Saccharomyces cerevisiae S288C: one gene and its partner. The gene in region 2 interacts genetically with the main gene of each other region. Each region holds a gene or a part of one and is shown on either strand. Other genes may lie near its edges. The genes, in order: YBR196C-A and HEL2.

What was found.
Region 1: mutations in HEL2 (region 2) and YBR196C-A together harm fitness more than expected from each alone (negative genetic interaction), as found in Saccharomyces cerevisiae (one large-scale study listed by BioGRID).

Annotation. Positions count from the first base shown.
Region 1 is NC_001134.8:610,936-618,905, forward strand, and holds YBR196C-A (uncharacterized protein), read right to left. Parts: upstream 3,239-7,970; coding exon 3,089-3,238; downstream 1-3,088. Other genes in the region: MSI1 (Msi1p), read right to left, coding at 1-947; PGI1 (glucose-6-phosphate isomerase), read right to left, coding at 1,301-2,965; YBR196C-B (uncharacterized protein), read right to left, coding at 3,591-3,695; YBR197C (uncharacterized protein), read right to left, coding at 4,268-4,921; TAF5 (chromatin modification protein), read right to left, coding at 5,192-7,588.
Region 2 is NC_001136.10:997,005-1,006,739, reverse strand, and holds HEL2 (E3 ubiquitin-protein ligase HEL2), read left to right. Parts: upstream 1-4,716; coding exon 4,717-6,636; downstream 6,637-9,735. Other genes in the region: Cu(2+)-transporting P-type ATPase CCC2, read right to left, coding at 1-1,065; tryptophan--tRNA ligase MSW1, read right to left, coding at 1,597-2,736; iron-sulfur cluster assembly protein CIA1, read left to right, coding at 3,238-4,230; PEX10 (ubiquitin-protein ligase peroxin 10), read right to left, coding at 6,863-7,876; palmitoyltransferase AKR1, read left to right, coding at 8,417-9,735. UniProt on the Saccharomyces cerevisiae protein: E3 ubiquitin-protein ligase that plays a key role in the ribosome quality control (RQC), a pathway that takes place when a ribosome has stalled during translation, leading to degradation of nascent peptide chains.

The DNA of each region.
Region 1 (7,970 bases), on a different chromosome or scaffold from region 2:
TCTGCAGATGCTAGAATTAAAGAGTTCTTATAGTTAAATCTACAGGAGTTTACTCCACCATCGTGTTTTTCACGGTTACTCTGGAGCTTCTCTTTCTTAGTCCTCAGATCTAATAGGGAGACCGCATTTCCTTCAGTACAAGCAGCAAAGAGGGAATCGTGTGTTGGCATCCAAGTTACATCATTCACCGCTGTTCCGTCGCTGTTTATTGACACTAAGGGTAAATCTATTATAGGGTTCTCATGCGAATATTGTTTAATGTCCCAAACTTGAACTTGGCCGTTGGAGTGAGAAGAAAGTAAAAGGGCCTCCTGCTGCAAGTTCCAGGCTAAAGAAGTCGCCTCATTTATATCTGCCGAAGAAGTATCCATTGCCTCCACGTCTTGAATAACACCATGTGAACCAAACAGCTTTGTCTCAAAGGGATGTGAAATTTTGGACTGTCTTATTCTAGTAGAGCCGTGTTTTGTTCTATCGAATATGTAGATTGCACCATCTGAAGAGGCGCCGGCTATAATATCTGGATTTTGAGGCAAATATCTTGCCCTATTGCATTCCCCGTTTGGGAAGAAAATACTGATGTCATTTACTAAGTGTTTGGAGGGAAACCTTGTCGAGTTCTCCGGTTTGAATTCCATTTCGTCCATGTCGAAATTATTTAAAGATGACCATTTTATATGACCCAACGTGGATATTTTGCTAATATATATGGTCTCATCTTCAGGTTTTTGGGAAGATGTAAATGAGGATAACAAGATGCGATGCTCATCCGAAGTGGTATCTAAATCAGGAAAGAACTGGCACGTTAAGGACGGCCACTTTGTTGAATTCGTGTTTAGGTAATCATAAAGTAGTTTAGTGTTTTTCTTCCAGTGCGAGTATCTTTCTTGCAAATCGATGGGTATACTGGAGGCTTCATGAGTTATGTCCTTCGCGCACTGATTCATCTTTGAAACTAAATTTGTATATTGTTTGTCAGAAATAGGACCTGATATCCTCCTTTTAAACAGTTGATGAGAACCTTTTTCGCAAGTTCAAGGTGCTCTAATTTTTAAAATTTTTACTTTTCGCGACACAATAAAGTCTTCACGACGCTAAACTATTAGTGCACATAATGTAGTTACTTGGACGCTGTTCAATAATGTATAAAATTTATTTCCTTTGCATTACGTACATTATATAACCAAATCTTAAAAATATAGAAATATGATATGTGTATAATAATATAAGCAAAATTTACGTATCTTTGCTTATAATATAGCTTTAATGTTCTTTAGGTATATATTTAAGAGCGATTTGTTCACATCCATTCCTTGAATTGATTGATTAAACCGTTGGTAGAAGCATCGTGGGTAGAAATGGTGGAGGAGTTGTCCAATTCCTTGCCGATGACTTTAGCCAAGACTTTACCCAATTCAACACCCCATTGGTCGAAAGAGTTGATATTCCAAATGGCACCTTCAGTGAAAGTAACATGTTCGTAGTAGGCAATCAAAGCACCCAAAGTAGCTGGAGTAATCTTTTGAGCCAAGATAGAGGTAGTTGGTCTGTTACCTGAGAAGACCTTGTGTGGGACCAAACCACCAGTGGCACCTTCAGCCTTAACTTGTTCTTCATCCTTACCAACCATTAAAGCTTCAGCTTGAGCAAAGAAGTTTGAAGCCAACATCTTTTGATGTAATTTGTTCTCAATTGGGTTATGAGATTGAGCAGCTAAGATGAAATCAGATGGAATCAACTTGGTACCTTGGTGAACCAATTGGAAGAAAGAGTGTTGAGCGTTGGTAGCTGGTTCACCAAACAAGATAGAACCAGTAGAGTAGTCAGTAAACACGTTACCTCTGGTAACAGACTTACCGTTAGATTCCATTGACAATTGTTGCAAGTAGGCTGGGAATCTGTGCAAGTATTGGTCGAATGGAGCAACCAAATGGGTTTGAGCACCAAAGAAGTTGTTGTACCAGACAGACAACAAACCACCCAACAATGGAATGTTGTCTTCCAATGGGGTTTGGGTGAAGTGGTTGTCGACGGCTTCAGCACCCTTCAAGAAAGCCTCAAAGTTGTCATAGCCAATGTACAAGGCAACAGACAAACCAATAGCCGACCAGACAGAGTAACGACCACCGACCCAACTTTCGAAACCAAACATGTTTTTGGTGTCAATACCGAACTTGGCAACTTCGGTTTCGTTAGTGGACAAAGCAGCGAAATGCTTAGCAATGTGAGATGGATCATTACCTGTCTTCGACAAGAACCAGTTCTTGGCAGTGTTAGCGTTAGTGATAGTTTCAGCGGTAGTGAAAGTCTTGGAAGCAATCAAAAACAAAGTAGTTTCTGGGTCAACAACCTTCAAGGTTTCAGCAATGTGAGTACCGTCAATGTTGGAAACGAAGTGGACATCCAAGACACCAGCGTAGTGCTTCAAAGCCTCAGTGACCATGACTGGACCCAAATCGGAACCACCAATACCGATGTTAACAACATCGGTGATCTTCTTACCGGTATAACCCTTCCATTCACCAGAACGAACTTGTTCAGAGAACTCCTTCATGTGCTTCAAGACAGAGTCGACTTCTGGAGCAACGTTGACACCATCAACGTACATTGGCTTGTTAGCTCTGTTTCTCAATGCGACGTGGTAGACAGCACGATCTTCAGTGGAGTTGATGTGTTCACCTTTGAACATAGCATCTCTCAAACCGGTGACGTTAGCCTCCTTGGCCAGTTCAATCAATGCAGCAATGATTTCATCGTTGACCAAGTTCTTTGAGTAGTCGAACAAGATTTTGGAACCATCATAGTTGGTGAAAGTCTTGTTCAATTTTTCAAAACGCTTGGCATCTTTTTGGAATTCTTGCTTGACAGACAAAGTCTTACCTTGAGATTCATAAATTTTTTGCAACTTAGACCAGGCTGGCAATTCAGTGGCCAGTTTGAAGTTAGTGAATGAGTTATTGGACATTTTTAGGCTGGTATCTTGATTCTAAATCGATTTTGCAAGACTAGAGGAATATGTATTAAAATTCACTGAATGCAAGTAAAATATTAAGTAAAAGAAAGCATTGATTATGAAGAAAGGACCTTTTTAAGATATGAGAACAATGAGAAAAGGAAAAATGGGACGAAACAAATAGGGAAAATTCCGTCTGTAAAACCAATTGTAGTAACAAAAAACGCTCATTTCAATAGCAAAAAAATAGAATACCGTCAATGGATATATATAGACACGGGACATTATAACAACGTGCAGATGGTGATGATTGCAAACCCAAAAAATTACCAGCTTCCTGTAATTCCAGGTTGAGCGCGTGGCTTCCTATAATCCAATACACCCACACCCACCCAGATCGTGATTTTTGTTACCATCCCGGTTCTTGCCTCATTGACATATTTTTCTGACGGTGACAGAACGTGGCCTTGTACACTCTTTTTTAATGTTACGCTGGCACAACATAGTTCAACGAAAAACGAATTAAGTTCTTACTTCCGTGTTTTAATCAGAAAACGATATTCCAATGAGAGATATAAGCGTAAGGTAGCATGTCCGATGGCAAAATTCTCTTTGCTTCCGCAGCGGGGCCAAAGTCTTACTCGCCTCTAACCCCACGTAGGACAAGTGCTGAGAATAAAATAGTCTTGGCGTAGTATGCCTTCTTCAGTAATATTTTTTCTTTTGAAAGTACTACCCACATCCGAACATTGCCACTTACATAGCGATGCAAATAGCCGCCAGGAAATGCCGCATGTTATCCACTAAGAATAGTCAACATTGCATAGCATCCAAATACGTGAAAGCGGACCGATCTTGAGCGAAATGTTTAGTACCGTTGATGTGTAGAAGTAGTGCCCTGAAATACATAGCGGTGTATTATTTAGCATTAACATACAAAAAAAAAATAACGGAGGCACCAATGGAAGTGGTGTCGCTACATTAGTTTTTAACTCAGTCAGAAAACTGAATTTAGTTGATATGGGACCGCTCCAAGGTAGGAGAATACTAGATCAAGTAAAGCAACCGCACTAGTGCCTTTTTCAAACAAGGTGGTTTGATGAGGAGGCTTTCTACAATCCTAGAAATATAAGACATCTGTCAGATTAGCCGCCGTTCATATGGTTTCAAAAGGTTGCGAATGGAGACAAACGTTCCTCGTCCCAAATTAGCCAGACGGAACAGGACAATAAAGGTGATAATGTAATCCATGACTTCCTCTATTTTAGACGGGACTTTTAGCATCCTCTAAATATTTTCAACCCATACATGTCATCAGCATCGGTGAACATCTTTAATAGTATCGACAACTTGGCTCACGTACTTCTCACCGTCAAGTGCGATTTCCGGGTCATGCAATACCTCGTCTGGTTCTTGATCTTTATTCGTGGCAGAATTATGCTGATCCTTATGAGGAGGGCTCCTCAGCTTGGCATACTTTAGTCGCTGATTTCTTTCCCTCATTAATCGCAGTAGTTGAGCGTGCGACTTGCGCATTTGCGTGAGATTGCTCTCAAAATCTCGTGGGAACCCGTCGTTGACGATAGGTTCTTTCGCCATCTTCTTCACATCATCCAGTGTATCGATTTCAGACCATGATACGTCTTGCGTCTCCGTAGGTGCCAGGTTTGAGTGCATTGTTATACGGCTACCATTTACGCTTCTTTCGTATGCAGTATTACCCCTACTAATGCTGGTCGTTAAGGGGTTTAGTGCTGGAGGCGTGGTTAGGTTTTTGGTCGGAAGTGCGTTGGAACTGCCCATTATAGAGGCAGTGGAATCTGAAGATCCCTTTCTTTTATCTTTGTCGCTCTTTGCCTTTAATTGAACCAGCTGAGGGTTTCCTTCCTGGCTACTAGATTTCCTTCTGTTGGTGGAATCCGCGTCGCTTACTTTCACCTGGACTGGTGGGGTTTGCTTCACTCCCATTATTTGTCTTCGTTCGTGCCAGCAACATACATTTCATCTTATTTCTCTGGAAGGTTTTTACAACAACCAGTTACATTTTTCATTTTTCTGTTCTTCGCCTTTCTTGTTTTGGCCCCGATGACTGAGCGAAAAAAAAAAGGCTAAAGAAGACGCTATGATAACCGCCGAGCAGGTCAAGTACGATGTCGAAAAAGCATCTAATAGTTACATATCGGATTAGGTTATACTTATTACATATCACTTCCATGCTGTTATTTTTTTCAGTGTGAATTATGGCCTGAAAGCACCTCCTGCAAGGGCTAAATTGCTTCTGCTGAACTTGACCTTAAAAACAGGCGTCTTTTTGGTGTAGAACGACGCTACTAAATCGCTTGTAGGTATTACTGTTCTTCTGCGACCATATTCTTTTATATCTTGGTTTATAGATGCAGTAACGTCACCCAAGTATCCAATGAATGGCTCATCTGGTTCTGCGCTTGGCTCAGTAGTGGCCTTTTTCAAATCCCATACACGGACTGTATGATCGGCACCTCCACTAATAAGTACGTTTCCCTCTTTGCTATATGATAAGGAATAAATGGCATTCTTACCATGGCCACGCATTTGTTTCAACCTTTTGCCGGTACCAATATCCCATACATTAATAATACCATCTTCGCTACCAGTGGACAACCACCTACCATCTGGACAAACAGCAATAGAAATGACGGGCGCAGTATGTCCAAGAAATAACCTAACCGAGTCGCCTGTAGAAACGTCCCACATTCGACACGTCTTATCGCTGGATCCCGTAAACACATAGCAACCGTTCGGATGAAATGACACACAATCAACATCATTTAAATGTCCTGCAAATATTCTTAATGGATATATGTGATCGCATGACCATAACCTTGCGGTTTGGTCGTGCGATGCAGTGGCGAAATAATGGCCTAGCGGGGAGAAACTAACATCCCACACAGGGTGATTATGGCCCTTATAGCTTACTAGCGCGGTGTGAGTATCCATGGACCATAGCCTGACGGTTTTATCTTCAGAACCAGAAAGTAAATACTTATTATCCGGACTGAAACTTGTTGAATATACTGTACCACTGTGCCCCACCAAAGTTTTACACGTTGGGTCTTCATCCTTGTCGTTGTTATTTAACGCGATGTTAGGATTATTAAGTGATGAGCCGTCGAGTGACCAGATCTTGATATAACTGTCTTGAAAGCCAGCAGCCGCTATCCTACAATCATCACTGAAATCTAAACATGACATGTCTTTATTTGTGTTTTGGAATGTATACATGCACACGCTTGGTAAGGCCAACTGTAAATTATCTAGTTTGATGGCATCACGAGATTCCTTGACCTTCTGAATCTCCAACTTCAAATCTAGTGCCGTCTTTGGTGGTAAAGGTAAAATATCACGTGCTGGCGAAGATAAATTGCTGTCTTTTTTTTCACCATCCACCTTCAATTCGCTCTCTTTTTTTTCCTCATCTTTGGCGATTTTATCTTTAATTTTGTCTTTATCATCGTCGCCAGTATTATCCTTAAATTTTTCGTTATTCATAGCTTTATATTCTTGCAATAAGGTTCTATTGTTGGCTCCACTGTAATTGTCACCTGCAGTTTGTTGATTTAGTTGTTTCTCTTGATCATCCTTAATTTTCAATTCAGTTTCAATCTCCTTAACAAACTCCTCGTCTTTTGGGAAAGGTCCCAGCTTGACAGGAACAGAATTCATTTCTAAATTTTGTTTACCATTTCCGTTTTCACTATCACTGAGAACTTTTATTCCATCAGCCAATTTTTCCCTTGCGGTTACTGATTCTACAATATTTGGATCTAGGTGCTGATTTATTACACTAATTATTAATGAACCTCCAATACTCTCATTTTCATTCAAAAAATATAAGAGAAGATTTAAAGTGGTTTTAGACATAGTAATTCTGTACTTGTGAGATTGGAAAGCACTTGCGACCTCATTTTCCTTGATGTGATCTATAGAATTGACACTGAAAAGTCTATTAATTTCTGAGCCATGGAAGTCCTTAAAATCGGGAGAAAATCTATCAAAGAAACGACGGGCGTAAACAGGATTTTTGGCCACCAAATTTAAAAATAAATAAATGAATATTGGGTACATGATGTAGCTTAGTTCCGGCTTGTAAATTTCCAGCGACGAATCTACCCAGTTTTTCAACATTGAATATGCACGTATATAATTTTCAGGTGCGTTGAGCCCTTCTAGTCGCCCGCTAGATACTATACCACCTTCTGCATCTCTCTTGGATGACAAATTAGTTGGATTGCTTATGGGTTTAGCTGTCTTCCCGGGGTTCGGAGGAATTGATGATTGTTCAGGAAATTTACCTGTTTTAGTATTTGCTGGTGATTGTTTGTTTTGAGGTGTTAGTGTACGTCCACTCTCGGCTCTCAGCATGGCCTCTGTACGGTGGTATCCCTTTTTATTCAGGTACTCTAGGACAATTCTATTCAAGTCTGACGCCGAAAACGGACCATTGGACCTCCCCTGCTGTTGAGACTGGCCTTGACTCTGTTGCTGTGGCTGCTGGCCGGAATTGGCGCCAGCAGCATTATTAGTTCGTTGATTCTTTACTGGTTGTGGCTGATGCGTGCCATTTTGATTCTGATTCGTACTTTGCTTCTGTGACATTCTTATTTTTCAAGTATCTCAACTTGAACCCGGAGTTTCTCGTATCTTTTCTCCTTCTCTTTTCCTACCCTTATGCCTGCTTTATTGCTCTTTCTGCCACTTTGTAGACTTCATTTGAAATCTTGAAACTTTTTTGCTTTTGAACAATTCATCTGAACCCGTAAAAGATGATATTTACAGCTACTTTTACCCGGCTAAGGGGAGAATTCCATTCAACGGAACGAGCTCTATAAGACGTTCTCTAACTGCATGTAGTGAAATATTTTGAACCATTTGATATGCAGATACTTTCACGGTGTTGCACGGCTGTATAATATACAATAGGCCGTTACAGCAGAACACAATTTTTAGTTTAGACCCAACAAGGTGAACCATACGAACT
Region 2 (9,735 bases):
TAAAGAAAACACAGAAAATGTGTATGCACAAGTAGTGGAAACACAAACTAGTGTATCCATGGTTCCTGAACCGTGCTTTAAAGATGCCCATGCTGCCTTGTAAAAGTAAAAACCAACGCTGAACTGAATATAGCTTGCCAATATTACACCCAAAATATCTCTGTAGAACAGACCTCTAACAAAGGAGGTTTCTTTGTAAGGGAATATGCGGTCCTGAACAATTGTTGGCCACATCATAGGGACAATCATATACAATAGCATACATATTATAGCCAAAAGGGTGGATTTTATGCTGTTTTTTTTCCAGAATCTTATCTCGTCCTCTTTAGAGAGAAGCCTTAACTGGGTAGTATTATCTAAATTGGAAAATACAGTGAATTTATATCCGGTCCTCTCAAGGTGCCTCAATAAATCTCTAATGCCGAGTTCGTTACAACAGTATTTTATGGTGAGTGTGTGCATATCATCAGAAATTTCTATCGATTTTACACCTAGGTCTAACAAAAATTGAAACCTTTCGCTTACTGAAGAAAGTATGAGTGGGGATTCGTCCTCGAAAGCCTTAGTTACTTTCAAGATCACCGTTTTTTCGGTCATGTCTGCATTCCCGTTGCCATCCATAATAATATTTGAGTCAAATCCACAGTCTTCAATCATTTCTCTGGCGGTTTCTAGCGTTGTCTTGGACGGTTCATAAATAACATGGCACTCTTCCGTTACCAAGGAAACGACTACCGATTCAACACCCTCAATGCCTTCCACTTGTTTGGTGACTGTAGAAACACAAGACCCACAGGTCATACCTTGTACACTCAGTAGTCCTTCCTTCGTACTTATGGCTGTAATTTCAGAATCTCTTAGTATCTCACAGTCAAATCCACAATCCTCTATAATTTCCTTAATAGAATCGGCGGTAACCTCGTTATCGTATGTCACCTGGCACTCATTAGTCACTAAACTAATATCACATTTTGTTACACCCTTTAAAGCTCGTAACTGCGTATTGATTGTATTAGTACAGGCGCTGCATGTCATTCCATGTACAGCAAGTATCACTTCTCTCATTTCGTTTTAAGTATTAAACACCTCAACTCCTTGGCCGCAAAATTTACGAAATATCTCAAATACCTTTGAAAAGTAGCTTAGTACCAGGCAGAATTAAAGTCTAATCCATATGTCTCAAATTTGAGAAGAAATCCATTAGTTACCGTGACTTCCCTAAATATATACAAGTGTGTGCAAAAGGTCTCGGAATCACCGGTGCAAACCCTTCGGCAGCTAATTGCACTCATCGCCGCACTGCACCCGTTCTTTTCCACTGCCCGCGAAAATCGCTACTACAAATAACTGCACCCAGGACAATACTTACACAGATCGACCTGTTTTCGAGCCAGACGGTGGCAACACAACATTCTAACGGTGCTGGCCCTCTGCAAGAGACTGTACCAACATCTGCGTATTTTTCAAGATACTAACGTTTATTGATGAGATCTGCCGAGTGAGGAATCTTGCATATTCTGAAATAACAAAGATACGTACAAGTTAAACTGTATTATTATTTACATTGCGTTTGCAGCAGCCTAAAGCCGGGGACAGTCAGAAGCCCATTATTTTATGAATGTCGGCCAGGTTTTTTGCTGCTTTTTCTCTCGCTTTGCGCATGCCAGATTCAACGACACTATGCAAATAGGTCGGTTCGTTGATATATTTCTCAAATTCTGTTCTTGGGCCTTTCAATTCCTCAATTATCACTTCTGAAACATAATCTTTGAAATCCCTATAGTTATTGAAACGAGATACATCTTCTACGACATCTTCAATCGATTTTCTTTGAATGCCACTGACAATGTTAATTAAATTCGATACGCCTGGTCTTTCTACAGGGTCGTAGTAGAACCTATCAGAAATGGAATCTGTTAAAGCTTTTCTAATCTTTTTCTGAATTGCCTTAGGCTCATCATTCAAAAAAATTACAGAGTCGTGATTCGGATCACTCTTGGACATTTTCTTTTCAGGCGTGCTTAAGCTCAAAACTTTTTTCGTTTGTGCCAACATAGTTACAGGTTTAGGAAAAAAATTTTTCTTGTACATTTTGTTAAACTTTTCAGCAAGGTGTCTTGTTAGTTCCAAATGCTGCGATTGATCATCGCCAACAGGAACGTGTGTAGATTTATAAAGTAGAATATCCGCTGCCTGTAAAACAGGATACGAAAATAAGCCCAGTCTAACTTTTCCCACGTCAGAATCGTTAACCAGATAATCCCCATTAGTTGATTGTTTGATATTCGATTTTGATTTCCATTGCGTCATGCGGTTAAGTAATCCCATCGAGGCAAGAGTAGAAAGCAACCAGTGTAATTCACTGTGTTGAGGGATGGCGGATTGGTAGATCACCGAAGCCTTTTCTGGATCTACACCGACAGCCAGTATACTTGCTACTGCCTCATGGCGAAATTTTCTAAACATTTCTCCATCTGGCTTTGGAACAGTGATAGCGTGTAAATCAGCAACTCCAAATATCAATTCCTGGCCAGGTTGTTTTAATTCACATAAGTCTGTCCAAACACGTGTAGCACCTAGATAATTACCAAGGTGGAAACACCCAGTTGGCTGAATCATACTAAATACCGTAGCATTACTATGAAGCGCTTCGGAATTCAGCTTAAAATCGGCACGTTGCACTGTGCTTATCCACCTTTTACTGATTAACTTCAGAACCGCCTGCTTATTCGACATCTTCCTTGTAAAAGATAGTGTAAATATTTATCAAAACCTGATTCACTCCTTAGTAACGTAAAACCTTTGAGATGGTGCAGGTAGCCTGTAATAAATCATAATACCCTTTTCTACTTTCTCGAAGCCGATTTTATCACGTGAAAAACAAAAAATACCTTTGCACTTCTATCTTGTTTTGTGTTGCCTTTATAAGGAGAAAAAGATCTTCAAGAAAAGGTCATACTAATTGTAGAAACGTTTGAATTTAAGGAATCTGACTCTGATGTGCATAGCAGTGTTACTACTATTTATTTTCTTGAAAAATACCATCGTGATTGCCTTCAAATAGGTCATCTAAAACTTTCTGCTCTCAGCGGGCCGTGTTTTGAAAAATCTCACATCGAATATTGTATCGTCTTTGCCTCATTAATTGCGAATAAATACTAGATTTGTAGATATCACAAATCAAAATCGGGCTATACCACGACATTTTAATAGTTCAATTGGTTTACTTATTTGGTAATGGCGTCTATCAATCTGATTAAGTCTTTGAAACTTTACAAGGAAAAGATATGGTCTTTTGACTTTTCTCAAGGTATATTAGCAACAGGTTCAACTGATCGAAAAATTAAGCTAGTTAGCGTGAAATATGACGATTTTACGTTAATTGATGTGCTAGATGAGACTGCTCATAAAAAGGCGATTCGATCTGTGGCGTGGAGACCTCACACTTCGCTGTTAGCGGCTGGCTCTTTTGATTCCACTGTATCTATCTGGGCTAAGGAAGAATCTGCTGACAGAACTTTCGAGATGGACCTGCTAGCTATTATCGAAGGTCACGAAAATGAAGTAAAAGGTGTAGCGTGGTCGAATGATGGATATTACCTAGCAACCTGTTCCAGAGATAAAAGCGTGTGGATATGGGAAACAGATGAAAGTGGCGAGGAATATGAGTGTATTAGTGTTTTGCAAGAACATTCACAAGACGTTAAACATGTTATATGGCATCCATCTGAAGCATTACTGGCTTCAAGTTCTTATGATGACACCGTCAGGATATGGAAAGACTATGACGATGACTGGGAATGTGTTGCTGTCTTAAATGGCCATGAAGGAACTGTTTGGTCTTCTGATTTTGACAAGACTGAGGGCGTGTTTAGACTGTGCAGTGGAAGCGACGATTCCACTGTACGGGTATGGAAATACATGGGTGACGACGAGGATGATCAACAAGAATGGGTTTGTGAAGCTATTCTCCCGGATGTACACAAAAGACAGGTATACAATGTTGCATGGGGCTTTAATGGCCTCATTGCTAGTGTAGGAGCGGATGGAGTACTAGCGGTCTATGAAGAAGTAGACGGAGAATGGAAAGTTTTTGCTAAACGTGCATTATGTCATGGAGTTTATGAAATCAACGTTGTGAAGTGGTTGGAGTTAAATGGTAAAACTATACTTGCAACAGGCGGTGACGACGGGATCGTAAATTTCTGGTCTCTAGAAAAAGCAGCGTAGATGTAGAAGCAAGAGTACAATTCAGGAACTCATATTAACACAGTGATCGATCTGAATTCTAAAAATAAACTTAATGACGATTTTTCTACCTAGTTACATAAACCTTTGTATCACTATAACGCAATTCTGTCATGTGTGACGGAGTGACCTCGTTATACATATCCCTGCATTAAAAGCATGCGGTAAAAACTGAAATTTAAAAATGAAAAAAAAAAAAATTAGATATTCGGAAGACTTGTAATTAAGCATTATCTCGAATAAAGAAAGGTTACACTGAAAGTTTCATACTCGCGGTCACTCTTAATAATAGCTATATTTTCTGATTTTCTCTTAAGATTTTGAAAAGGGCATCTGAACGACTGCCCACTCAGCCATATTCAACAAATCGTCGAGCGCATACCTAGCTGAAAAAGATCCATAAAGTGCATTTTGATACAGTCTCTTTCGTCGAAAAAATAGTGGCTATACTTCTTTTCAAGAATTAGGATGAGCGAATCAGTGAAAGAAAACGTTACTCCGACACGTAACTTCCGTCGTACTCAAGGGCCCCAAAATAATACAAAACCTCACAACGACAGGAAGAATTTCAGAAGAAAGCAAAAGAAAAATAACCTTTCTGCTGAACCCAACCTCACCACTTCAAGCGCAGATGATACTGATGAAGAAAATGAATTATGTGTAATTTGTGCGCGCAAGTTAACATACGTATCTCTAACACCATGCCATCATAAGACATGCCATATCTGTGGTTTCAGACAACGAGCTTTGTACAACAAGAAAAGCTGTTTGATTTGCAGAACGGAGAATGAAGAAGTCATGTTTACCGATCGCATAGATGGTGATATTTCAGATAAATATAACTTTTGCGAAAAAAATGAAAAATATGGAATAAATTTCACTAGCGAAGAGGTTGCTACCGAAACACTAAATCTTTTAAAATTTTTTTGTCCCCTATCGAAGGATGAACAAGTTTGTGACTTTGGTAGTTTCAAGAAATATAATGAACACTTGAAATCTGAACATAACAGAATGATCTGTTTAATATGTGCAACCCATAAGCATGCATTCCCTTGTGAGCTTGAAATATTCACCCAAAATCAATTACGCAACCATCAAACTAAGGGTAATTCAGAAGGATTCAAAGGCCACCCTATGTGTGCCTTCTGTTCCGGAAAACGATTTTATTCAGACGACGAATTGTACATTCACATGAGAAATCAGCATGAAAAGTGCCATATTTGTGATAAGATGAACCCCGCTTCTCCTCAATACTTTAAGGATTATAATCAGCTTTTTGACCACTTTAAACATTCGCATTACGTTTGCACCGTCCAAACTTGCTTAGATAACAAGTTTGTCGTATTTAAAGACGAGTTGGAGTTACAAGCCCACATTTTGCAGGAGCATGGTAATATCCTGAAGGGAAAGCCAAAGTTTTTCCAGTCAGAACTTTCTACTTTTATCTCGGCTCCATCTAGAGTGATCAGGGAAAGAGATGATTACGACCTTCCATCTATATCTTCCCTACCGGGTTCATCATCCGGCTCTAGAACTGATGTGAGATCTGCTAGTTCTCCCGAGGAAAGTAGACTAAGATTGGCAGAAAGAGCAAAATACTATCTGGAAAATTCCAAAGAAGACTTCAATAAGTTTTCTTCTTATAACGAAGATTATTCTAAAGGTCGCTTAAGTGCTGAAAAATTATTGGAATCATATAAATTGTTATTCACAAAACCAAATGCGGATGTATATTTATTGATTCATAACTTAGCTGAAACCTTTCCCAAAAACTCCTCCAAATACAATAATCTGAACGCCATATATGAACAAAGAGAGCAAACCCTTGCACGACAAACTTCACTACCTTCTTTATCTAGTGATTCTTCCCTTTCAATGTCAATAGGCAGGGGCCATTGGGGTGGAACAAACGATGGGGGCAGCGCTGGTGCAGCATTAGGCGTTAGGAATATCAAAAATCTTCCAACCCTGAAAAGTCCTTCAGCGTCGTATGATCCCTTTGCAACCACCGTAAAAAAAAACACTCTGAGACCCGTGCAAAACATTAAAAGAACTACACCTCAATCAGTTAGTTATCGAACTTCCACTAATACAGTCGCCTTCTCTCCAACCTATTTGGAAAGTAAAAAGGGTTCCTCTTCTACTTCTCTAAATAATAGCAAAGATAAATTGAAAAGTCTCAACCTACCTCAACTACCTCCACCAAAGCCAAAGGTGCAAATTCCAGGTCTGAACAGACCCCAAATTGCTGATCCTAAGCAGTGGGGTAAAAAGTCAAGCACACAAGATACTAACGTGCACGATAATTTGAGGGAATTGAACACAACTAGTGGAGGAAATAAAAAGAAAGGCAAACAAAAGCAGCTGTTATTCCACATTGGTGTATAGTTGGAAATATATTTCTAACCTGTAACTGACAATAGCATTAGAGAAATGAAAGTCTTAAATAAAATTCCGATAAAGAAAAACTTATTTAATTAATTAATATAATTACAAGACTAAAAAGCATTATTTCCCCTTCGCGTTTTACTTCTCCTGCTCAGACGTCTGCGTTATTTCTGAAAAAGGCCTGTGGACAATGCTAAAAGAGTAGTCAAATTATTGATTAGTTCCTCTATTGCCGCAGGACCAGAATTTCCTGTGGTTGACAGTGTTGTCTGCACAAGGGGCATTCTGGCCTCTCTTTACACCAGCTCATAAGACAACTCCAACAAAATAGATGTCCACATGGCGCGCAGCTAGGATCACTCATGTTCATGAGACATAGGATGCATTTTCTCGAGGCTTCTGGAATAAATGGCAATTGGTTTTTATCTGACAAATTTATATGAGTCAGCTGCGATTCCTTCGGTATGCCTTCTATAGATTCATGTTCTGAACGCTCCTGTAGACCAACAGACGACCTAGTAATTGAATCATTGGTCCTTTTTCTCCCATAAATCCAGGACCCGAGCGTAGAGGTTAGGACAGGGTACCATTTCATAACATTTTGAGCTAATAGGATATAACCTAATACTTTGTACTTTTGTGAGCCCTCTTCTCTAAAATTGGCCTCATTTTTTGACAATATATGTTTAAAAACATATCTCATACCAAAAATCCTTTTGGAAATACTGTAAAAAGCTCCTTTGAAATAAAAGAGGGTCATGTGTACGTCTAAAATGAAATCTAAAAGGCCCTTACAAAACGCGGCAACACTTTCAGTATCTTCAATTTTACTTTCCTTGTTGTTCTTCATTATTTTCTTGTATAGTTTGGTGATGAAATATGGACATAAAGGATAAGCGAAAGCGAATACAATCATTTTGAGCCGTCCTGCAAGTCTGGTACCCTTCCTATTAGTGTATGTCAAGTCAACATATTCCTCACCTAACGTTCTACCACGTCTTCCTGTAGTAAAGAGCAAATACAGGAGCTTGGCAAATATGGACAGTTCCTTAGGGTAAGAGTTAACAAACAATTGACTCTTTATCAATTTGCACAATTCAGTCACTTTCATAATCAAAAGGCCCTGGATTTGTTCATCTTTTTGATGCGCTTGTACTATACTTGGAGCATCGGCAAATGGAAATCTTAGCTGCGATAGTCGCATAAGTGCTTCCTTTTGCAACTTATTATCATTCTTCATTTTGGTCCTCTATTGTATGACCCCCCACCGATGTAGTAGTGTCTGTTTCTTTCTTCGATGTGTAGTGTGCTTTATTACCACTACCTTATTTTTCTAATGTAAACGGCTAATACCTACTTCGCCCTCTCAGATTATCACGGTGGGTAAAAATTGTGATAAAACCGGCTGATTACTTGCAAGAAGATGCACATATGGACAGCTCATGTAGCTGTTGAGACGTTATCATTGTTAGAACTTTGGCTCCTATAATATTATCAATTCACGTTTTGCTGCTTATTCCTCCGAACGACTTTTAGCATTGGGTTACTCTGATCACAAACATCCGTACCCTACACTCCGGGTGATAAAGCCAGCCCATTGTTTCGTACTTTCTTATTACACCCTCATATTGAACGATCTATAAAACGAAGTAATGTACAGACACAAGTGCAAGCGAGGAATATATACGGTCGATTAGTAGATTACAAACCACGAAGTAGAATATATCATTTCCGTTTCGTCTAGATAAAAAAACACTTCTTTGTTCAGAGTAGCTAATTGATGGTGAACGAATTAGAGAATGTGCCACGGGCGTCGACCTTGACGAATGAAGAGCAAACGGTTGATCCTAGCAATAACGACTCACAGGAAGATATTAGTCTGGGTGATTCTAACGAAATTACTTCGTTGGCATCATTAAAGGCTATCCGATCAGGAAATGAAGAGGAAAGCGGGAACGAGCAGGTGAATCATAATGATGAGGCCGAAGAAGATCCTCTGTTAACTCGCTACCATACCGCTTGCCAAAGAGGTGATCTAGCGACTGTCAAAGAAATGATACATGGAAAGTTGCTCGAAGTTAATAACGACGGTGACTCTACGGAACATATCACTGGTTTGCATTGGGCAAGTATTAATAACAGACTTTCTGTAGTGGATTTTCTAGTTTCACAAGGCGCTGATGTCAATGCAAGGGCTGGTGCTTTGCATGCCACACCATTACATTGGGCTGCAAGGTATGGGTACGTGTACATTGTCGATTTTTTGCTTAAGCATGGAGCTGATCCCACCATGACCGATGACCAAGGTTTCAATCTACTACACTTATCTGTGAACAGCTCAAATATAATGCTAGTTCTATACGTTTTATTCAACGTTGTCAGCAAAGGTCTTTTAGATATAGATTGCCGAGACCCAAAGGGCAGAACTTCACTACTATGGGCTGCTTACCAGGGAGATTCCCTAACTGTAGCAGAATTGTTGAAATTTGGTGCCAGCATAAAGATCGCAGATACAGAAGGATTCACCCCACTGCACTGGGGCACTGTAAAAGGGCAACCACATGTACTAAAATACTTGATTCAAGATGGTGCAGATTTTTTCCAAAAAACGGATACCGGAAAAGATTGCTTTGCTATTGCTCAAGAAATGAACACTGTGTACTCACTTAGAGAGGCTCTAACACATTCTGGATTCGACTACCATGGTTATCCCATTAAAAAATGGTTCAAAAAAAGTCAACATGCTAAGCTCGTTACATTCATAACGCCATTTCTATTTCTAGGAATCGCATTTGCTCTTTTCTCTCATATTAACCCTTTGTTTGTAATCATTGTCCTTTTTTTATTGGCCATTGCCACTAACAAAGGCTTGAACAAATTCGTTCTGCCGTCATATGGACGAATGGGTGTCCACAACGTTACCTTGTTAAGGTCACCTTTGTTATCCGGTGTTTTTTTTGGCACTTTACTTTGGGTGACTATCGTTTGGTTTTTCAAAGTTATGCCTCGAACATTTTCTGATGAACAATATACTAACATCCTAATGCTGGTAATACTTGTTTCTGTATTTTACCTTTTTGGGCAGCTTGTTATTATGGA